Linked DNA regions of Elephas maximus indicus. The protein of the gene in region 2 binds, or shares a complex with, the protein of the main gene of each other region. Links are inferred from orthologs where the notes say so. Each region holds a gene or a part of one and is shown on either strand. Other genes may lie near its edges.

Evidence for each region. Proteins that work in one complex are often made in the same cells at the same time.
Region 1: ZC3H13 (region 2) and METTL14 share a complex: the UniProt entries of both Homo sapiens proteins name them as parts of the WMM complex. The link is inferred for Elephas maximus indicus from reciprocal best matches to the Homo sapiens genes ZC3H13 and METTL14.
Region 3: ZC3H13 (region 2) and CBLL1 share a complex: the UniProt entries of both Homo sapiens proteins name them as parts of the WMM complex. The link is inferred for Elephas maximus indicus from reciprocal best matches to the Homo sapiens genes ZC3H13 and CBLL1.

Annotation. Positions count from the first base shown.
Region 1 is NC_064823.1:30,926,288-30,934,235, forward strand, and holds the start of METTL14 (N6-adenosine-methyltransferase non-catalytic subunit), read right to left. Parts: upstream 3,098-7,948; 5' UTR 2,930-3,097; coding exon 2,864-2,929; intron 1-2,863. UniProt on the Homo sapiens protein: The METTL3-METTL14 heterodimer forms a N6-methyltransferase complex that methylates adenosine residues at the N(6) position of some mRNAs and regulates the circadian clock, differentiation of embryonic stem cells and cortical neurogenesis.
Region 2 is NC_064832.1:33,686,018-33,693,379, reverse strand, and holds the start of ZC3H13 (zinc finger CCCH domain-containing protein 13), read right to left. Parts: upstream 3,001-7,362; 5' UTR 2,925-3,000; exon of another isoform or gene 2,636-2,924; intron 1-2,635. Other genes in the region: carboxypeptidase B2-like, read right to left, coding at 4,162-4,346. UniProt on the Homo sapiens protein: Associated component of the WMM complex, a complex that mediates N6-methyladenosine (m6A) methylation of RNAs, a modification that plays a role in the efficiency of mRNA splicing and RNA processing.
Region 3 is NC_064826.1:41,895,142-41,903,001, forward strand, and holds the start of CBLL1 (E3 ubiquitin-protein ligase Hakai), read right to left. Parts: upstream 3,098-7,860; 5' UTR 2,788-3,097; coding exon 2,775-2,787; intron 2,765-2,774; exon of another isoform or gene 2,105-2,764; intron 1-2,104. UniProt on the Homo sapiens protein: E3 ubiquitin-protein ligase that mediates ubiquitination of several tyrosine-phosphorylated Src substrates, including CDH1, CTTN and DOK1. Targets CDH1 for endocytosis and degradation.

The sequences.
Region 1 (7,948 bases), on a different chromosome or scaffold from region 2:
GTAGGCCTAAGCCACGACACAATGTATTACAGAAGAAATGCTTTAAATAAAAATTCTGCCTACATATGTAATTGTCTTTTCATGAAACATTTAAAAAAAAAAATTGTAGAGTGCCCACATCAAGTTAATAAAAAAAATCCCACTGCCGTTGAGTTGAATTCGACCCATAGCAACCCTACAGGACAGAGCAGAACTGCCCCATAGGGTTTCCAAGGAGCGCCTGGTGGATGTGAACTGCCAACCTTTTGGTTAGCAGCTGTATCACTTAACCAAGTCAATAACAGATTTTCCATTATGTTGGTGGCACTGAATAGATTTATCTGAGGAATTCTAACAATTTGATAACTTCCTAAGGCATATTTAATTTTTGGAAACAGAGTTACTTCTCAGGACCACGTATGCTGTTTGAAGTTAAATAAACAAAAGGCACAAATTGGTGGTGGTAGCATCAGTTGTTATTATCATGGTCCAGGCCTACTTTTTGCCTCTAAAGGCTTCACTAAGCAGACAAAAGTGAATCAAGCAAATCATACACATGTTGTGCTCTAGTCTGATATTTCATCACTCAACAAATGTTTATTAAAATCTTGCTTTGTGAAAGAAACAATCCTGGGTGGGAAGAGGTTACTCAACAGGAGTTACATACAGACTTTGTACTCAAACTATTATAGTCTATGTGACAATCCACAAGTGCAAACGGTTAAGTGCTCGACTACTAACCAAAAGGTTGGTGTTTAGAACCCACCTAGAGGCACCTCATAAGACAGGCTTGGCGATCTGCTTCCAAAAGGTCACAACCTTGAAAACCCTATGGAGTTCTACTCTGCATACATGAAGTCACCATGAGTCGGAATCAACTCAATGACAACTAACAACAAAAACAGGACAATTCACACAATATGTAGTAGTGGACTCGACAGTGAGGTACAATGAAAGCTCAAAGGAAGAAGAGCCTAAGCCAGGGAGATCAGAATAGGTTCCAACACCAAATTCTAACCTAACTGGGCCATGGAGGATGGATAGAATTCAGAAGGCAGGTAAGAAAAAGACTTTAAAAATAATAATACTAAAGCATAAAAAAGCATATAGTGCACAAATCAAGTTCTGGAGAATAATAAAAGCAATCTATCTTGTTCATACAGAGAAAACTAGGCAAAAGACGCTCTGCAATTTGTTGGTAAAGTGGAAGTTTGTCACTGATTATAGTGGAGGCAGCTAGGTGTACTGGAAAGAGCCTGGCAAGGCCTAAATTAAAATCCCAGCTCTCACATTTACCAGCTTTGGGGCCTTGGGCAAGTAACAATTTTTTTTGGGGGGGGGGGGCTCTATTTTCTTCATCTATAAAATTCAGATAACATCTGACTTGTAGGATTGAAGACATATAAGTACACAGCTTAGCAGAGAGTCTGACACATAGCTGGAGGGGATTTAATACAGCTGCCATTATAAAACTGTAGTACTATGTAAGTTCTTTGTGGGTAGGGACTATTATTCATAGTTGAATTGCGAAGGCCTACTAGAGCTCCTGGAACATAGTTAAAGCACTAACAAATTGTTCTATGAATGTATTTTGAGCCAAATCTTCTAGAGATTTGAATTCAAAACTGAGGAGTAAAAACTACTGGTGGCAACAAAGATCTACTGAACATTTTGCAGACAATTATGATTAAAAAAGTAGGGAAAAAGAAGGCTTAGAAAGGATGCCTCATTTGTTCAGGATGGTACAGGACAGGACTAGATCTGATTCCAAATAACATGTTAAATACCATATCATATGTCTTTTCATCAGCTTTTAAAAGACAGGTTTCAGACTTCTTGTAGCTAAAACCAAAATTTACTATTGAAAAATAACAGCAAGACACCTCATTTTACCCATCACTTTTACTAATCTGAACAGCAGAATGGAAAACAAACCCTCTGATTTTACATAAAGGTAGCACCATCTGTATTTTCTGCAGGGTCATTATGAGTCGTAATCGACTCGATAGCAAAAGGTTTGGTTTTTGGTATACTCTACTCATCAGCAAGATTAGTATGGTCTTATGTACTAATGTACTCACACACAAGAAGCAGTGAAGGAGAGTGGTTTAGAAGGTAAGCTTTGGAGAGACAAACCTGGTTTCAAATTCTTGGCCCAGCTATGAGTGAGTCGGGGCAAAATTACTTGACCTCTGGAGCCTCTGTTCTGTTCTCTGATAAGTGAAGAGAATAATACTACCTATTTCATTGGGCTGTTTTGACTGACAGAGAGTAAAAATTTAAATACTATTTTTTTATGGGTGATGATGACGCTAGTATACGTTGCTCAGTGGCCTGCAATACACAAAATGTAGAATCTAATGTTTACACTTAGGCTCCTTTCAATGTAGTCTTTAAAGTAGATACCCCCGTCCCAAAATACACCCATTTCACAATGAAGCCACAATCTCAGGATTTAGGTGTTGATTCCGAGAAAAAAACAAGACAAAGAAGAGCACTTAAAAAAAATTAGCAAAGCGATATTTAAGGAATAAGTCACTTTTCATTGCATCAACTGTGATAACTTATTTACAAAAACCAAAGCTTTATATCCCCACTATCAAGCACAGTGCCAGAAGCTTGGAAGGCATTCGATAGATGTTGCTGAAGATCAATCGTGGCGTCTAGTTTAACATTACTACACACACAGCGGCTGGAATGGGAAAAAAATTCGGGGCACAGCAGGGGTTGAGAGAACAAGGGGAGATCCAAGGGTCAGGGTCTCCGGATCAGGAATGATCGGACAAGGTGAGCGCTGACAGGACGAAGGGCAGGGGAGGGGGAGAGGGCGGCCGCGCACGCGCATTCGCGAACCCTCCCCGCATTGGCCACCCCGGGCGCGGACCTGCTGCGCGAGGAGCTGTCGCCGTAGCTTCTGCCGCTCCCGGATCTCCTGCAAGCGGCTGTCCATATCCCAACTCCTGTTTTCCACTACCCTGAAAACTTGCCAATGCGTAGATTAACCCCCGCCCAATCTTTCTTCCAAGTCTATGGAACACAAAATTCGCCAGGGACTTCAGGCGGGCGGGTAACCCCTAGCCTTTTCTTCAAAGGGCTTTCCGGCTCGGCCGGAATTGGCTCCGTTGTACCCGGAAGTCCCGCCTACAATTTGACGCTACTTGGAAGGGGCCCAATGAGGGACGGGGCACTGGGGGAGGGGTCTCGGAAGCCTGATAGGCGCTGTGAGCAGCGATGTCAGGTCCCGTCTCTGGTGTCTCTCTTGATATATCCACGCCTCTTCCGATGTGAGCTCTTTTGTTGCTTCTCTTTTCCGTTAGTTCCCCAGTTACTTTTAAAACTTGTTACATGTAGTATCTGCTTTTTTACTGAGAGAGCAGACTCCGGCCATATTGCCTTGAACCTTTTCCTATTACTAGCTGGGTGACCTTGGCTGGTTAGTCACCTCCGTAAATCTGTTTTTTTCGTTTGTAAAATGGGAGTAAATAAGAGTGCCAGCCTCATGGAGTCGTTGTGAAGACTGAAATAATGAACAGTTTGTATAAATAGTAAGGAGGCGCAGAGCGCTATAGAAGTGTTTATTATTATTAAGGTTGTTGTTTTTTACTTTTCCCTTCTGTCAGTGCTCTGCACACCTCACTGTTGTTAGGTGCCGTCGAGTCGGTTCCGACTCATAGCGACCTTATGCGCAACGGAACGAAACACTGCCCAGTCCTGTGCCATCCTGACAATTGTTGTTATGCTCGAGCTCATTGTTGCAGCCACTGTGTCAATCCACCTCGTTGAGGGTCTTCCCCTTTTCCGCTGACCCTGTACTCTGCGAAGCATGATGTGCTTCTCCAGGGACTGATCCCTCCTGACAACATGTCCGAAGTATGTAAGAGGCAGTCTCGCCCTCCTTGCCTCTGAGGAGCATTCTGGCCACACTTCTTCCAAGACAGATTTGTTCATTCTTTTGGGAGTCCACGGTATATTCAATATTCTTCGCCAACACCACAATTCGAAGGTGTGAATTCTTCTTCGGTCTTCTTTATTCATTGTACAGCTTTCACATGCATATGATGCGATTGAAAATACCATGGCTTGGGTCAGGTGCACCTTAGTCTTCAAGGTGACATCTTTGCTTTTCAACAGTTTAAAGAGGTCCTTTGCAGCAGATTTGCCCAATGCAATGCGTCTTTTGATTCCTTGACTGCTGCTTCCATGCCTGTTGATTGTGGATCCAAGTAAAATGAAATCCTTGACAACTTCAGTCTTTTCTCTGTTTATTATGATGTTGTTCATTGTTCCAGTTGTGAGGGTTTTTGTTTTCTTCATGTTGACGTGCAATCCAAACTGAAGGCTGTGGTCTTTGATCTTCATTAGTAAGTGCTTCAAGTCCTCTTCACTTTCAGCAAGCAAGGTTGTGTCCGCTGCATAACGCAGGTTGTTAATGAGTCTTTCTCCTATCCTGATGCCCTGTTCTTCATATAGTCCGACTTCTCGGATTATTTGCTCAGCATACAGATTGAATAGGTATGGTGAAAGAATACAACCCTGATGCACACCTTTCCTGACTGTAAACCAATCAGTATCCCCTTCTTCTGTACAAACAACAGCCTCTTGATCTATGTAAAGGTTCCTCATGAGCACAATTAAGTGTTCTGGAATTCCCATTCTTTGCAATGTTATCCATAGTTTGTTATGATCCACACAGTCTAATGCCTTTGCATAGTCAAGAAAACACAGGTAAACATCTTCTGGTATTCTCTGCTTTCAGCCAGGATCCATCTGACATCAGCAATGATATCCCTGGTTCCACATCCTGTTCTGAAACCGGCCTGAATTTCTGGCAGTTTCCTGTCGATATACTGCTGTAGCCATTTTTGAATGATCTTTATCAAAATTTTGCTTGCATGGGATATTAATGATATTGTTCTATAATTTCCACATTCGGTTGGATCACCTTTCTTGGGAATAGGCATAAATTTGGATCTCTTCCAGTCAGTTGGCCAGGAAGCTGTCTTCCATATTTCTTGGCATAGACGAGTGAGCACCTCCAGCACTGCATCTATTTGTTGAAACATCTCAATTGATATTCCTTCAATTCCTGGAGCCTTGTTTTTTGCCAATGCCTTCAGAGCAGCTTGGACTTCTTCCTTCAGTACCTTCGGTTCCTGATCATATACCACCTCTTGAAATGGTTGAACATCGACTAATTCTTTTTGGTATAATGACTCTGTGTATTCCTTCCATCTTCTGTTGATGCTCCCTGCGTTGTTTAATATTTTCCCCACAGAATCCTTCACTATTGCAACTCGAGGCTTGAATTTTTATTTCAGTTCTTTCAACTTGAGAAACGCCGAGCGTGTTCTTCCCTTTTGGTTTTCCATCTCCAGCTCTTTGCACATGTCAGTATAACACTTTGTCTTCTCGAGCCGCCCTTTGAAATCTTCTGTTCATTCTTTTACTTCATCAATTCTTCCTTTTGCTTTAGCTGCTCGACGTTCGAGGGCAAGTTTCACTAGCTCTTGAGATATTGCCTGTTGTTACCATAATGCACTTTATGGATTCTTCCCTTTAGAAAAGAGGGGTTGGCGATTGTACAGTGTGCCTTGGTTTGTGTCCTAGATAAGACCCCTTTTTCTGCCTTGCATTTATCTTAGCAGAAAATAACCCTGGGATATGGAAATAAATACCCTGGTGGGGAGGGGAGGTGATTCTTCTCTCTTAGGAAGGCAGCAAAGACCAAAGTCTTACTAAAAACTTTAACATTGTTATTCACCACGTTTGTCATTTTGTTCCAAACTCAAGTGGCCAAGGTGGTTTAGGCATCCTGTTGCCTCAAGTTTAATTGGAACTTGTGGCAAGTACTTGCCAAAATAAATAACAAAGTTTATTCTTTGAGAGTGGATTTAGTTTTTTCAAATAATGATAAATCTTCCAGATCAAAACCAGGTGAGTCAGGCTAGGCCCAAAGTGGGCAATATTAGATTCTAGTAATTTATCACGCATTTCATGTGTTTTTTAAAAAATTAGCTTTAAAAGGAAATTTCAAAAGCGGAGCTCTAAAAATTCCTTGAGTAATGGGAACTATTCTATAAAAGATAATATGTGTGTAGGAGCCCTGGTGGTGCAGTGGTTAAGCACTCACTGCTCTGCAAGAGAAAGATGCGGCAGTCTGCTTTGGTAAAAATTTACAACCTTGGAAACTGTATGGAACAGTTCTGCTCTGTCCTATAGGGTCATAATGAGTAGGAATCCCCTCAGCGGTGGTGGGTTTGGATTTTTTTTTAAATTTGTATCTATGACTTAAAGTATGTTTCTTTAAAATTCCATTGTACTACTTTGCATGCCAGTCATTTAAGTTGGGTACTGATTTCAGCTATTTATCAATGATGGGAATAGGAATTTTCACTAAAATACTTATTTGATGTTTATTGACATTTTACATGGCAGGTACTTTGATAGGTATTAGAGTCAAAGACTGAAGACCAAGTAAGTCAAATTCTGCTTTCTGATGATGGTGGGCTAGGAATCTACAAACTACATTTTTCAGACTTCTTTGTCAGATGACTTCCAATAAAATTCTGCCAAGAGGAAGCACAGATGGAGATAAGAAGATGGAAGGTGGGGAGAAGCTATTGTTCTTCACTTCTTTTCCTGCTTCTGGCATCCCTGGAAGTGGCTGTCACTTCTTACAGAGTTGCAGAACCAGTTGCTACTTCTCCTCCTTGGCTGTCCTGTCTTTCCTGAATCAACTCAATGGTAACCTTTGGTTTTGTTTTGGGGTTTTTTATACCCCCAGTAGTGAGTGTGCTCTTGGGCTCTGATAATATCACCCCTTCCCTCTGTTTCACCAGTTTTAGCACTAGTAGCCACTTCTTGCAGTCAAAAATGTATGGTTTAATCTCACCTTCCCCTTTTTGTTTTTTTAGCCTTCAAAAACAAACCAAACCAGTTGCAGTGGAATGATTCTGACTCAGGACAACCTCATGTGTGTTAGAGGAGAGCTGTGCTCCACAGGGATTAGTATGGCTGTTTTTTCAGAAGTAGATTGCAATGCCTTTCTTCTAAAGCCTCTGGATGGACTTGAACCACCAACCTTTCAGTTAGCAGTGAGTCCATTAACCATTTGTACCACCCAGGAACTGTCTAGCCTTCAACACCTGTGTAACCAATTCTCCATAGTAAATGTTGTCTGTTTCAAATACTTTAAATGACTTCTGTTTTCCTGACTGGACCCTGGGCTGATAAAGATGTAAATGTGTACTATTACATAGTATTTACAAAGCCACCAGAATCCAGCAGTGATGGGACAGGCACTCTAACCGTTTTCCTGAGGATGAGGATGTAACTCTGAGATTTGTTTCACATCCTCTGAATTTTAAAATGCCAGACTAATGGCTCTAAACTTTTTTATTTTTCCACATCAGCACACTTGAAGAGTACTGTACATGGCTATCAATAGCATCTGCTCATCATGGTAACATAAGGGCCACTAGGGAGTGTGCGTGTGGGGTGGAGGGGAAGTAAGGTAGGAGTGAGAAGAAAGTTGGAAAAACAGCACATATAATTCATACTTTTTGAGGAGGCAGTTTCACTTCTAGGTACTAATTTAAGGAAGTAATTAAGAGCTTCATATAACAATTCGTTTTCCCACAAGCGTTCCTTGAGAATAACTACCCCAAACCTATATATCAGATTACCTATTACACAGCTTCCTAGGATGTTCTCCAGAATTTTAAACTTAACATGGATAAAACTTATATTCATAATCCATAATCCACCACCAACCTCTCTAAAAAAAAATCAATTCGAGCGTTTCCTCCTGTTTCAGAGACTAGCATCAATATCCATCCATTTTCCAAAATAAAGAAGCATTCCACCTTTCAGTTTCCATATCTGCTGTATAGCTGTAGCTCTGCTCCTGGCTCTCACTGCCCACCCCTTCATTCTACAACCACACACCTGTGGATGATCTGTAACCCTA
Region 2 (7,362 bases):
CTTTTGTTTAAGTTACCCTTACACTATCACATCATCATTTCTTTCCCAAACAGCAGCACTGTAAGAGCCAGAATAAGACTGGTGAAAGTCCATTTAGTCATTTTTCTATTTTTCCTTGCAGATATATAAATATCTGAAATTTTCCTTATCACTTTTAAATTTAAAAAGAAAAAGAATAACTGGAAATAAAGCTTGAATCTCCTGAAGGCACAGGAAAAGGGAGTCTTAATAAATGGGAAATTACATTATCACAATCTATTCAAAGCTGCACACTATAAATATGGCTGAAAAAGTTGAAAAATACAGGGTCCTCTTCTCTGAATAATTAATTAAACCTGAAGCCTAATGGCTAAAATCTTGTCAGTAAAATATGTATCAGTTCTAGTATCTTCACTGGATCCTTCTGAGGTCTCATCTTCTGTAGTGTAAATGAAAGCATAACTCTTTTTAATCTGGATGATCTTCTATTACTTATACAGCAGCAGCGTAATACCAGGAAACTGTCAAATAATTACATAACTAAAACTATATAAATGTATTAATTAGTAGAATAAATCCCTACCCATTGAATTTCTAAGATTTAAAGGGTTATATTAAAAAATAAAACTTTCCCCACATTCATACTTCATGTTTTAAAAGAAAAAATAGCTGTTTATTTGATGCATACTTTTGAAGAATTTATTAAAAAGAACTTTCTCAAACACCCTTCCAGGTTGCTTACCTGTAGACAGAGTAAATCTATTCTTAACTGATCGTGCAACAGAACTGGCACAACTAAGCTGACTACACAGGTATGAGCAAGGCAATACTGCAGCACTGTGCAGAAAATAACTTGTTAAAAAGATTGTGTGTGCACAAAGAACACCCCATCCTGGGAACCACTATGAAGTGACGTAAACAGAACCGCAACACACAGAGCTACAAGAGGAGAAGAGAAGACAGGGTTACATGAACACCAGTTAATACCTCAGCCACTACAAAGTACCTGCTAAAATGCCTCCAACTCTGTATGAGCTGTGGGTTGCGAGTGGGGAATACGGGAAAGACTAACGTCCACTGAAAACCAATTCTCCAAATGGAAGTTAAACAATTTTGCTTTCCCTATGTAAACACCAATGCATATTATAATATAAACTAATACAGATGATTCATTAAAATTTTAATAATTTGGTATAAAAAAGTTAACATAGCATCCACTTGCTGTCTCTTAATATTTTTAATCTGTACTACAGATATGAAAATAAGATGTGCACACATCCTAAAATGTACAATGTGCAATTAGAATTACCAATAACTAGGACTTCAGTAAAACCAAACCACTTGTCATGGAGTCGATTCGGACTCACAGCGACCCTGTCAGAGGCATAGACTTCATAAAACTGTATCCTACCAGACGGACACAGTGAAATTTTTAGTTTCATGATGCAACTATTTTTACACACACAAACTGACATATACCTCCATCAATCTTCTTACTATCTCTCTGAAACTGTCATCTATTATAATCTAAGTATTTCATTAATAACTTCAAAATCAATAGCTCTCCAAAACATTATTGTTTGGACAGTAAAGCCCATGACATCAAGTATTACAGAACTAAAAACACCCAGAAACTGGACCATGCTAACTGGCACCATGCACACAGGGATGGCGCTGCATAAGCATCGGGATTTGCCGCAACAGTATCACGAACTCTGAAAACGCGAGGCGTGAAGACCTCTTCCAAACTTTCTAAATTCCCTCTTTACAAATGCAAAAACCTTAAGAGACTCTAGCCCATAATTTTCAAAGTAGTTCAAATTACCTGGAAACCTTCTAATATAACCGAATAGATTAACACACTACCTTCCACACGCAAAATCCTACCAACATCATTCAAGTAATAGCAACTCCGAATTTGTCAGCCATTTAAATTATATTAACCTATTTAAAAAGAGCGGGGCACTGGTGGCGCAGTGGTTAAGCGTTCGGCTGCTAAGCGAAAGGTCGGCAGTTCCAATCCACCAGCCCCTCCCTGGAAACCCTATGGGGGAGTTCTACTCTGTCATACAGGGTCCCTATGAGTCGGAATCGACTCAAAGGTAACAGGTTTGTTTGCGTTTGTATTTAGAAAGAGGTAATGCTAAACATAAGGTCCCGTCCTTTCATTCTACCTCTCTTTCAATTTGTTTCCCCCGCATATAACTGCCAAGACTAGCACTCCTCAACTCCCAGGCCCTAACTCGGTTTATCACTGCCAGTAAATACAGAACACCAAAAATAACCAAAAGATCCCTTTACCGATTACAGGTCTGGAATGCCCAAAGAAAAAACTCCGAAATCTAAGACCTTATTCCGGCACCCCTCCATTGCATACAAACGCGAATTCTGCTCAAGGGTTCCCGTGCCCACCTCAAATGTCAGTCACAGTCTTTTGCCTGAGTCGACCTGTCCCCTAGACAGACTCGCCACAATCAGAGCGAGGGAGACAAACGAGGCCTGAGCACAGGGAGTGACTGAAGATTCAGGGGCAGGATGCTCAAGGGGAGCACGAAATACCAGTGTGACCCAAGTGGGCATGGTGGGCGACTCCGGGCCTCCCCAGCTCGCCCAACGCCTTTCCTCAAATACCCACACGAAGTCACAGAACCCTTACCTCCACCCCCAGCTCTCCTCGCAAACGCAGACCCGAGGCACCCACACTGCCGCTGCTCGCAGGAGCGGGGAAGGAGACCTTCCGCCCCGCGCCTTGGCCCCGGGAGGACCACAAGGAGGAGGTGCGCGCGCGGCTCCCGGAAACCGCTCCTCGGAGGCTCACGGGGCCCCGGGGAGACTGAGAAACAGAACCCGCCTGCCGCTTCGCCAGGGTCCGGCGAGAACGGGGCGTGGGAAGAAAAAGAAGGAAGAGAAAATGGACAGTAAAAAAAACTCCAAAAAAAAACTACCAGGCCGCTAGGGCGATCGACTCAAAAAGCCGCCGGAAGTCAGGAGACCGTCCTGTTCCTCTGTAAACGAGCCAGCTTCCGGCCGCCAGGTTAGTCGTCAGAGCGCAGACCCCGCCCCTTTCCTCGTACGTTGCGTCGACGCTGAGGAGCGAGAGTATTAGCGAGAGATCAACTCCTGAATATGTTCTTTGTGGAAGGAAACTTGGACTCGCGGGGGACTTTTTTGATTCCCAATTAAAAGTGAACTTAAGAGAATTTCCCCGTTCATTACATAATTTCTTACAATAAACAACTATTTTAGGTGTGCAAAATGCTACGTGTATTGAAAGTAACTACAGCCATTCATTTGTTCAAGAATGCTTATTGAGACTCTGAGCTGGACCAGACCTGGCGAATGTCCTATTTTTGAACCCGTCTCCTTTGTAGCCCATCGCCTATTATTGTGGAGCAAACGGAATGCAGGGTTATGTTTTTAAAGGCGCAAACAAGTTTACTGAAAATGTGAAACAAAAATCTTTCATATACTCCCGACGGTCTTTCCTTTTGTTGCTTAGGGTCTCAAAGCTTTAACCAATGATTTGTATGATACAATTTATTAAAATTGTTTGGTTAGTGAAACATCCTGAATCAAAGTAAAAAAAAAAAAATTAAAATCAGTACCTTTGAATTGTGGTGTGGGCGAAGAATATTGAATATACCAAATCTGTCTTGGAAGAAGTGCAGCCAGAATGCTCCTTAGAGGCAAAGATAGCGAGACTGCGTCTTACACACTTTGGACGTGTTGTCAGGAGGGATCAGTCCCTGTAGAAGGCCATCATGCTTGGCAAAGTACAGGGTCAGAGGAAAAGAGGAAGACCCTCAACAAGGTTGATTGACACAGTGGCTGCAACAATGAGCTCAAGCATAACAATGATTGTAAGGATGGCTTAGGACAGGGCAGTGCTTCGTTCTGTTGTGCACAGGATAGCTGTGAGTTGGAAGCGACTCAATGGCACCTAACAACAACAACAACACCTAGCCCCTTACAATTTAAAAAAAAAAAAAAAAAGTGAAAAGAAATGTGAACTCTTGTCTTATTTGCAAGGTGGCATTTATTTTATTCTTTGACAAAGCCAAGAAATGGGAAAATCTCGTTACAAAACTGTTGATAAAACTTAAAAAGAAGCTGGGACAATTATTTGGTCTTGCTGGAATCAATAAATTAAAATATGGGAGCAGAGTGATAAAATCAAGGGCATTAAACATTCCTGATGACATGCCAGACTATTTTAGAGACAGCCGCGAGAGCCTCTTTACAAGTTGGCTTGATGAGACGTTCAGGCAGCAAGAATCCAAATTCGCCTTTATCTCGAAGTTCAATTGTAAACGAGTATTTGGTGCCCAAGTCATAAATCCAGTCATCTGAACCTCCAGGAGCTAAATCTACAAGAAGAAATTGCTTTTTAAAAACATATTTTAAGTTAGTTAACAAAATTTGTTTTCCTAAAACTGGAAAAAGCTTTACTTGTGTTCGATTATTAAGTAACCTATGTTACTTGTAGGAAATGGAGATTGAAGGGGAAAAAAGGTTAAGGAAGAAAGTAAAAATCACCCATTATATTACCAAACCAAACCCATAAGGACCCTAAAGGACAGAGTATAATTGCCCCGTGGGGTTTCCGAAGCTGAAATCTTTAGGGAAGCTGACTGCCACATCTTTCACCCTAAGAGCAGCTGGTGGGTTCTAATTGCCTACCTTTCACTTAGCAGCCTAATGCTTAAGCACTGCACCAACAAGGCTCCTTATAACCCTACCAAGGAGCGACTAAGAAGGAGAAAGGAAAAAAAAAAAAAACACATTGCCGTGGAGTCAATTCTGAAGCATGGCAACCCCATGAGTAGAACTGTTCACGGCGTATTCTTGGCTATAGTCTCTAGGGAAGCAAATGCACAAGACTTTCTTCCATGACCCTGTTGCATGGGTTCCAACCCCCAACCTTCAGGGCAGTAGGTGATTGCAAACTGGCTGGGCCACCCAGCAACTTCTAAGGAATGATAATCACCATCAATGTTTTAGCACGTTATCTTTAATTTTTTAGTGCAGACATTCACATGTTTATTTTTTTCCATACATAAATGGATCACACCATGTATGCTGCCTTGTAACATTTCTAAATATAACCTATCATGACCAGCTTTACATATTAATTAGTTCAAATCTGTATTATTATTTTTAATGATTGCATAACATTGCATGATAAAACTGGATATAATTGATTTAAATAATTATTAATTTATTTGAGGGCATTTGGATTTTTTCCAATTATTAATTACCACAAAGAGTTTTATAATTAATACCCTTATTCATACATAATTTCTTCTTTATTTCTTTACAATATTCTTCTCTAGAAATACAATTACTAGTCTAAGGATATACACTTTTTATAATTATTATGCATATCTTCAAATAGCCTTAAAAGAATTGAACAAATTTATACCCCCACTAGCCTGGTCTGAATAGGCTCACTTCCCCTCCCACATCATCCATGAGAATTATGAATTTCTGGCAATTTGATGGGTGAAAAATATTATCAAATTCTCTTAGTTTCTGTTTCTTTCATTACCAGTGAGCTGAATATTTTAGATTGGAGGAAGACTAGAAACCTGCATTATGCAGATGACACAACCTTACTTGCTGAAAGTGAAGAGGACTTGAAGCACTGACTGATGAAGATCAAAGACTACAGCTTTCAGTATGGATTACACCTCAACATGAAGAAAATAAAAATGCTCACAACTGGAGCAATAAGCAACATCATGATACATGGGAAAAGACTGAATTCGTCAAGGATTTCATTATACTTGGATCCACAGCCAACATCCATGGAAATAGCCATCAAGAAATGAAAGGACATATGGCCAAATCTACTGCAAAAAATAATAATAGTAATAAATTTTTTTTTTTTTTTTTTACTGCAAAAGACCTCTTTAAAAGTGTTAAAAAGCAAAGATATCACTTTTAGGACTAAGGTGCACCTCACCCAAGCCATTGTGTTTTCAATTGCCTTATATGCATGTGAAAGTTGGATGATGAATAAGGAAGACTAAAGAATTAATCCCTTTGAATTATGGTGTTGGCAAAGAATACTAAATATACCAAGGACTGCCAGAACAATGAACAAATCTGTCTTGGAAAAAGCTTAGCCAGGATGCTCCCTTAGAAGTGATGGTGAGACTTCGTCTCATGTACTTTGGACATGTTACTGGGAAGAACCGGTCCCTGGAGAAGGACATCATGCTTGGTAAAGTACAAGGTCAGTGAAAAAGTGAAAAACCCTGAAGAAGATGGATTGACACAGTGGCTGCAATGATGGGCTCAAGCACAGCAACAATTGTGAGGATGGTGCAGGACCAGGCAGTATTTTGTTTTGTTGTACATAGGGCTGCTATGAGTTGGAACCAACTCAACAGCACCTAACAACAACATAGATTTTGTGTGTGTGTGTGTGCGTGTGTGTGTGTGTGTATGCACACATATACATTTAACAATGAATCCATATGTATACACATATATGTGTGTATAGAAAACCCTGGTGGCATAGGTCTTAATCACTATGGCTGCTAACCAAAACGTCAGCGTTTCGAATCCACTAGGTGCTCCTTGGAAACCTCGTGGGGCAGTTCTACTCTGTCCTATAAGATTGCTATGAGTCAGAATCAACTCAACAGCAGTGGGTTTGGGTTTTTTGGGGGGTGTGTATATACACGTATATATGTGTGTGTACATATATGAATGCATATATATGTATTTTCCTATATGTATTTTTTTTTATGTTTATATATGTATACATATAAAGGAGACCTGCTGGTGCAGTGCTTAAGAGCTTGTCTGCTAGCAAAACGCCTGTAGTTCGAATCTACCAGCCACTCCTTGGAAACCCTATGGGGCAGTTCTATTCTGTCCTGTAGGGTCACTATGAGTCAGTATCGAATGGATGGCAATGGGCTAAATGTATAAAACCAACAAAACCAAGCCTGTTGCTGTGGAGTCAATTCAGAGTCACAGCGACCCCATAGGACAGAGTAGAACTGCACCATAGGTTTTCCAAAGGAACAGCTGGTGGCTTTGGACTGCCAGCCTTAACTTAACTTTCTCTCTCAATTGGCTCTGAAGGAAGGTCTTTTGCCATCAATCCTCCCTTGGATCTAGGAGTTTCTCAGCCCAGGGACCCCAGGTCCAAAGAACGTGGTCTTCTCCTGGCTTTTTTTTTTTTCCTTGATGAAATGAGGTCCCTCTCCTCTTTGTCTGATTCTCTTTTATGTCTCAAAAGAGAATGACTCGATTTTCCATTTGTCTAGCTCTCCTGTCCCCTCCTGCCTTTTCATCCTTGCCCCTGGGCAGGTGTGCCCATTTAGTCTTGTATACAAGGTGGAACTACAGGTATTACTGTTTGTTTTA
Region 3 (7,860 bases), on a different chromosome or scaffold from region 2:
ATAGCACCACAGGATAGCCTTCATTTTACGTGTATTTTTTTCAGCGTGTTCATTAGGTGGGCCATTTCTGCATAACAGTCGAGGGTTTCATCAATTTTCCCAAGGGCCTCTCTTAATCCTTTGATATTAAAATCATTCTCCTGAAATGTCTACCCAGTCATGATGTCTTCACTTAACTGGCTAACTGGCATTTCCTCACTAGTCAATGGCTCTATTTGTGATTCAAATAGTTATCGAAATTCAAGTTTATGCATTTCATAAAAGCCTGTATGTTTTGCAAGGTTTGTAATTTTTCCCAACAATTAAAGAACAGCATTTGATGTTGTCTCCTAATATGAAACATCAAGAAAACTGACTCACAAAGAAATTATCTAAAAGAATAGATGCTAGTATTAAGCAGAAGAAATACCTGAGTAGCAACTAATTGTTTAAGTAATCAGCTCATTAGGGAAGATTTCCATGCTAGATGACTTACTATGCTCAGATACACACCCATTCATATTACAATTTTCTAATATAGCATCCTCTGAATTGTGGAAGGGACTGGATTCCCAATTCCAAAGGTTCAAATGAGTAATATTTTGCTGATATTCAATGCTTGCTACTCTAACACCCAGATCCTTGAATTTCAACTCAGTGAACTGTTCAAAGACTGGAGTTCCTTAGAGCCTGGTTGTGGAACCCTCTCTCTTCTATATTAGCTCTCCTTTAGTGATCACATCCATCCCCATGCCTTAAAATATAAGGTATTGAGTCTCAAATATGTATTTTCAGCCCGTATCTTTCCGCTGGTCTCCGATTGCCTATGTGACATCTCCCCTTGTATGTTTCAATACACATCTCAAATTTTAGCAGTATGAAACCAAACTCTTGTTCCTAAATTTCCATTCCCCACCTCTATCCCTAAAAAACGTCTACTTTTCTCTCATGTTTTCCCCAACTCAATAATGGACACTACCATCTACCCAGCTGCTCAAACCAGAAACCTAGGCATTTCTCCTTTTTCTCATATACCTCCAAACCAATCTATGAGCATGTCATTGAGTTCCATCACCAAAATACTTATCGACTAGACCTACTTCCATTCATCCTCGCTAAGCCAAGCCATCATCTCTTTTGGTCTACTGTAATCTCCTAAATCGTTTTTTTACTACCCTTGCCTCCCACTGTTAACTCTTTCTTCCTAGAACAGCCTATTACATTTTTTAACAAGATCAGATTCCTCCTCTACCTGTTCAATAGCTTCAGAAACCCATTGCTGTCGAGTCAATTCCAACTCATAGCGACCCTACGGAAAGAAAAGAACTGCCCCATGGAGTTTCGAATGAGCTCCTGATGGATTTGAACTGCCGACCTTTTGGTTAGCAGCCTTAGCTCTTAACCACTACACCACTAGGGTTTCCAATAGCTTCACAGTGCACTTAAAATTCAAATCTTTATCATTGCCTTTAAGGTCCTACACCATCTGACTTCCTCTCCAACTTCATCTTAAGGCTCTTTAAATTTACCTCTTGTTAAGTAGGCTTCAGCCAATTGGCCTTCTCTAAGTTTTCCTAATCTCAGAGCCTTTGTACTTACTTGATGGAAATACTCTTCATTCTGCTTACTTCATGGTTGGATTCTTCTCATCTATCAAATCTCAACTTAAATATTACCTTTCCAACAAAGACCTTCCCTGACCGTCCTCTCTAAAGTTTCCTCCCATTTATCTCTAACACAGTACCTGTTTACTTTCTTCAAAATACCTTCATAATCTGTAAATATTTTAAGTTTTTTTTAGAAAGTCTGTTTACTATTTCCCCCAATAGAATGTAATCAAGGTGATGGCAGGAACTCAGCCTTGTTTTAACATTCCAACCCGAGGCTTAGAAATAAACACACACACACAACACACACAAATATTTCATGATTGAGAACACACATCCCAATTAATACCTAGACCGGAAAATGTATTTTTCCCTACCTGTGACACGATTAACATAACTGCATGGAGCGCTTCCTAACTTCGAGTGCGCTTTATTTTAACATTCACGAACCAATGGAAACAAAAGCCAAAAAAAAAAAAAAAACCCCACACATAAAAAAGTAATGGAGCCAGTCTTACTTGGAGAAAGAGATGAGAACTCCTTGATTTTAAGCTTTCCTTAGGAAATGGTCCGAAATGACGAATAAGGACCACAGCCAAAGCGTGGGGCATGCTTTAGGTTTAGAGGTAGAAGCTGCTCCGAGTATGATTACGAAAACTATATCCGACTCCTTTCTCCAACTCTAGCCCACGAAGGACGAGAGAGACAATAACGACAGGAGCACCCGCCCAAAGCCGACTGAGACGGCAGGAAGTCTCCAACCTACTCTCGCCCAACCACTCCCAGCCGAAGCGGAGAGCGCAGAGAGGCTTCCTCCACTTAAAAATTGGAATCTATCCGCCAGTCCGCAAACGCAGCTCAGAGCACCCGGGATGAGGGGAAAAAAAAAAACCAGCGCTCTCCCCTCCCCCCGAGGCCCGCGCAGCCCGCCGTCCCGAGTCGGAGCCCAGCAGTGCCAGAGGAAAAGCGGCTTTTGCCGGTACTGAGGCTGTAGCTACTGCACCGGAGAGTAGGCCGGGAAGCAGCAGGCCCCGGCCGGGCACGGAGAGAGATCTGTGATATTTCTTTCTCACCACCACACCCCAGTGCTTTGGGGCGAACGTAAGCCCTCTATGCCCGCTAGGCGACTGATCCCAGACCGGCCAAGGGGGCATGGAACCGGGACCCCCACTGCCTCCGCCTCCTTACCAGTGTGATCCATGATTCGGCTCGCAGGGCACAGTGGGAGCGGAAGTCAACTGCACCGGAGTCGCATGGGGCGCGTGCGCGCTATCCCCGGAGTCCGGAAGGCGGAAGTGCAACCAGTCTCCTAGCTTTGGCTTCCAAGGGCTATCTTTTGTCGCCTCCCCAGCATAGTTTGGGCAGAAGGGAGAACGAGCGAGTACGCGAAGAGCTTCAGTGTCGAAGTTGCTAAGGCAGTTCCTCATAGGCCTCAAGAGAAAGTAGCCTTTAACTGTGGAAAGGAGACCCATGGCAACACGGGAGGGGGAGAGCGGTACTAGCCGAAAGAATTCACGGCAGGTAAGGCGGCCTCCCGCCCCCTCGGAGCGTTGCCTTCTGGGACTTGTAGTGCGCAGGACCCCGGAGTCAGCCAGGCCTATTGCGCAGGCTTGGCCGTTGGGCTGGCCCCACCCCGGCGGCGGAGTAACGGTTTAGAAGCCCCGAGGGTCTGGGAACGTCAGTCTCCACCGGTTCTAGGAAAAGCGTAAACATCGGCGCTCCGGAAAGCGTCCTCCCGTGGGAGGTTGCCAGGGGATGGTTGACCTGTTAGAATCCTCTAGCTAGACGAAAAGACTCTGCTTCTTATTGTCGAAATTTTGCTTTGTCGTGGTGAGCTACATAGCCCCAAGTAGAACAGACTTGGTGTATGCCTACGTTCCCACCTCTTAAGTTTCTACCAGTTGAAACATACTTACATCATGCTTTGCTACCACTCATTTTCTGGAGAAAATGCGTGTGGCTCTAGGTTCCCCTACAACCTCTCCGCAGGACTGGCGGACGCCGCGCAGCTACATCTTATTACATGGGACACCTAGCACTAATGTGCAAAGAAGGGGGCCGCAGGAAGGGTACATAGAAATGGAGTGAGGTGAAGAGATCGTTAGGGCCTGGTCGGAAGGGAAAGGTGAAAAAAGAAAGGCCTAAAATGAGGAAGAGAGTTACCACAGTAGGCAGTACCTAGTTCCAGTTCTTGGTCCCAGGGGTTTGTGGTTGCTGCTGCTTTCATCTCCACAGCCAAGAGAAAAGGAAAGTGCCAAAAGGTGATGCCGTAGGACCTTCAGCGCAGTCTCCACCTGGTGGACTTTGCTCATTTGTGTCCACTCCCTTCTCCAAAGCTTTACATTTGATGCTCTCCGATGAGTAGAAGGGAGCACAATTAGTGGAAAACACAAGCTTGGGAGTCAGGGGATTTGGGTTCTATTCTTGTCGTCCCTTGGTGACGACATCATTACCTTGTGTCATTCACGCTTTCAGTGCCAGAGTTCCTAGATCAAGAACAGATTATTGTACTGACCTATTACAGAATTTTCTTCTCGGTATTGAAATCCGAATAAAGTATGTGTAGTAATGTATCCGTATAGTTATGCAGCAATAACTTTGAATAATTCTATGATGATCAGTACTATTTATTAACATCTTTTTGAACACATATCCACTGTGCAGATTTATAAACAAGTTTTTAGGTGCATTCACAACTATGAACATTTGGGAATCAAAATTACCCTTGCTTTTGTTAAAATGAAAGTTCTGTATTACTAAGTGGCTTTAAAGATGCTTGCAGTTGCTGGAACTGTTTTTGTTTGGGTGAGGGAGAGAAGCTTAACCTTTCTCCTGTACTTTGTACCCCTATTTCTCTAAAAACTGCTGATGTGGCTGAGCACTTGTCACCAATTTGGGGTGTGAAGGAAGAGCAGTTTTCATCCAGGAAGTGCTTTTTTTTTTTTTTTTTTTTTGTATCCTCATATTCAGCTTATTAGCTAAATTTCAGATTAATGCAAATCCAGGTTCAGGAAGCCATTGTTGGGCATAGAATGTTTTGGTTAGTCAGATATCCTGATTATTATTAATCTCTGCTGATACTAATATTTGGAGCCCTGGTAGCACAGTGGGTAAGAGCTTGGCTGCTAACCAAAAGGTCAGCAGTTCGAATCCACCAGCTGCTCCTTGGAAACCCTATGGGGCAGTTCTACTCTGTCCTATGGGGACACTAGGAGTTGAAATCAGCTCAACAGCACTGGGTTTTGATACTAAAATTTAAAGATTTAGAATAACATATGATACTTTCAGCCTGCATTTTAGAAATTTTAGTTTGTAAATCAGAAGTTTTGGTGGGATTTTATGGTGCATCAAGTTATGCAAATTAATTTACTGAGGGAAGACTCACTTATTTTAGATTTCCTGTTGATAAAATGTCAGATAAACCTTTATTTTATTATTTGACTTGGATTTGTTACTTTCAAGTATTGCCTCAGTATCTCTGCTCTATACCCATTTTCTTCCTTAACTGTAGTTGCATTGCTTTACCAGTACAGTAGCAGTGTGACAAATTAGTTTAATCTCTTTGCCTAAACTAAATGAAACTGTACAAAGATTTATATTTTATTACTGCCTTCTAGTATTGCTTTTTGGTGACCAGATGCTGCCAACAGTGACAATTTCTTTATTGAAACTTGATATTATATTTACTTAAATAGCATGGTACTGATCCAAGGTTTATAAAAATGAAAAGCTGTAGTAATAGGCAATCTGAAGCACTGAAGTGCATATTGTCATTGTACTGACAGGCGATCTGTTAGCCTGTGAATTACAAGCTAGTATTCTTCAAAGCCAGCATACTCGAAGATGTTTTAATAGCTTTCATTTACATAGAGCAAGATAAGATTTGACAGTTGGCATTAAGCTCAGAGAGTTGTTTTTCCAAAAGCCTGTTTCAGGCTCCTTAGTACTAACCAAAAAACAAACCAAATCAAACCCATTGCCATCGAGTCGATTCCAACTCAGAGTGACCCTATAGGTCAGAGTAGAACTTCCCCACAGGGGAAGATTTTATAATAAATCTTCACAGAAGCGGGCTGCCAAATCTTTCTTCTGCAGAGCAGCAGGTTTGAATGACCAAACTTTCAGTTAGTAGACAAGCGCTTAACCACTGTGCTACCAGGACTCCTACAATACTAACGAGTTGTCACCAAGACAGTTCCAACTCACGGTGCCCTCGTGTGTCAGAATAGAAACCCATAGGTTTTCAGTGGCTGACTTTTCAGAAGTACGACACCAGGCCTTTCTTCAGGTGACTATACATGGACTTGAACCTCCAACCTTTAAATTAGTAGCCAAGTGCATTAACCATTTGCACCACCCAGGGACTCCGCTTAATACAAGGTCAGGATAATAACCATCATCTTAATGTTCTTTCAACTGTATAATACTACTTTATTAAGAGTGCTTCTTGTTGTTGTCAGGTGCTGCCAAGTTGGTTCCGACTCATAGTGACCCTATGTACAACAAAACGAAACGCCGTCCAGTCCTGCAGTATTCTCACATTGTCATTATGCTTGAGCCCACTGTTGCATCCATTGTGTCAGCCCATCTTGACGGGGGCTTGCTGTTTTTCACTGACCCTCTACTTTACCAAGCATGATATCCTTCTCCAGGAACTGAGCCCTCCTGATAACATGTCCAAAGTATGTGAGAAGTAGTCTCAACATCCTTGCTTCTAAGGAGCATTCTGGCTGTATTTCTTCCAAGACAGATTTATTCTTTTGGCAGTCCATGGTATGTGCAATATTCTTCACCTATACCATAATTCAAAGGCATCAATTCTTCTTCAGTCTTCCCTTACTCCTTGTGAGTTTTCACATGCATATGATTGAAAACATCGTGGCTTGCGTCAGGCGCACCTTAGTCTTCAACGTGACATCTTTGCTTTTTAACACTTTAAGGAGATCTTTTGAAGTAGATTTGCCCAATGCGATGCGTCGTTTGATTTCTTCAATGCTGCTTCCATGGACGTTGATTGTGGATCCAAGGAAAACGAAATCCTTAACGGCTCCAGTATTTTCTCCATTTATCATGATGTTGCTTATTGGCCCAGTTGTGAAGAATTTTCTTTTCTTTATATTGAGGTGTAATCCATACTGAAGGTTGTAGTCTTTGATCTAGACCAGTAAGTGCTTCAAGCCCTCTTCACTTTCAGCAAGCAAGGTTGTGTCATCTGCATGTCGCAGATTGTTAATGAGTCTTCCTCCAATCCTGATGCCCTTTTCTTCTTCATATAGTCAAGCTTCTCAGATTATTTGCTCAGCATACAGATTGAATAAGCATGGTGAAAGGATATAGTCCTGATGCACACCTTTCCTAGCTTTAAACCACACAATATCCCCTTGTTCTGTTTGAACGACTGCCTCTTGGTCTATGTACAGGTTCCTCATGAGCACAATTATCTGCTCTGGAATCCCCATTCTTCACAATGTTATACATAATTTGTTATGATCCACACAGTCAAACGCCTTTACACAGTCAATAAAACAGGTAAACATCTTTCCGGTATTCTCTGCTTTCAGCCAGGATCCATCTGATATCAGCAATGATATCACTGGTTCTATGTCCTCTTCTGAATCTGGCTTGAATTTTTGGCAGTTCCCTGTTGATAATACTGCTGCAGCCACCTTTGAATGATCTTCAGCAAAATTTTACTTGTGTGTGATATTAATGATATTGTTCGATAATTTCTTCATTCTATTGGATCACCTTTCTTTGGAATCGGCATAAATGCAGATTCTTCCAGTCAGTTGGCCAGATAGCTGTTTTCCAAATTTTTTGGCATAGACAAATGTGCACTTCCAGCACTGCATCCATTTCTTGAAATATCTCAGTTCGTATTCCATCAATTCCTGGACCCTTGTTTTTCACCAGTGCCTTCAGACCATCTTGGACCTCTTCATTCAGTACCGTTGTTTCCTGATCATATGCTACCTCCTGAAATGACTGAATGTCAATTAATTCTTTTTGGTATAGTGACCGTGTATTATTCCTTCCATCTTCTTTTGGTGCTTCTTGCATCGTTTACTATTATCCCCATAGAATCCTTCAGTATTGCAACTCGAGGCTTGAATTTTTTCTTCTTTTAGCTTGAGAAATGCCAAGTGTGTTCTTCCTTTTTGGTTTTCTAACTCCAGGTCTTTGCACGTGTCATTATAATACTTTGCTTTGTCTTCTCGAGCTGCCCTTTGAAATCTTCTGTTCACCTCTTCAGCGTCATCATTTCTTCCGTTTG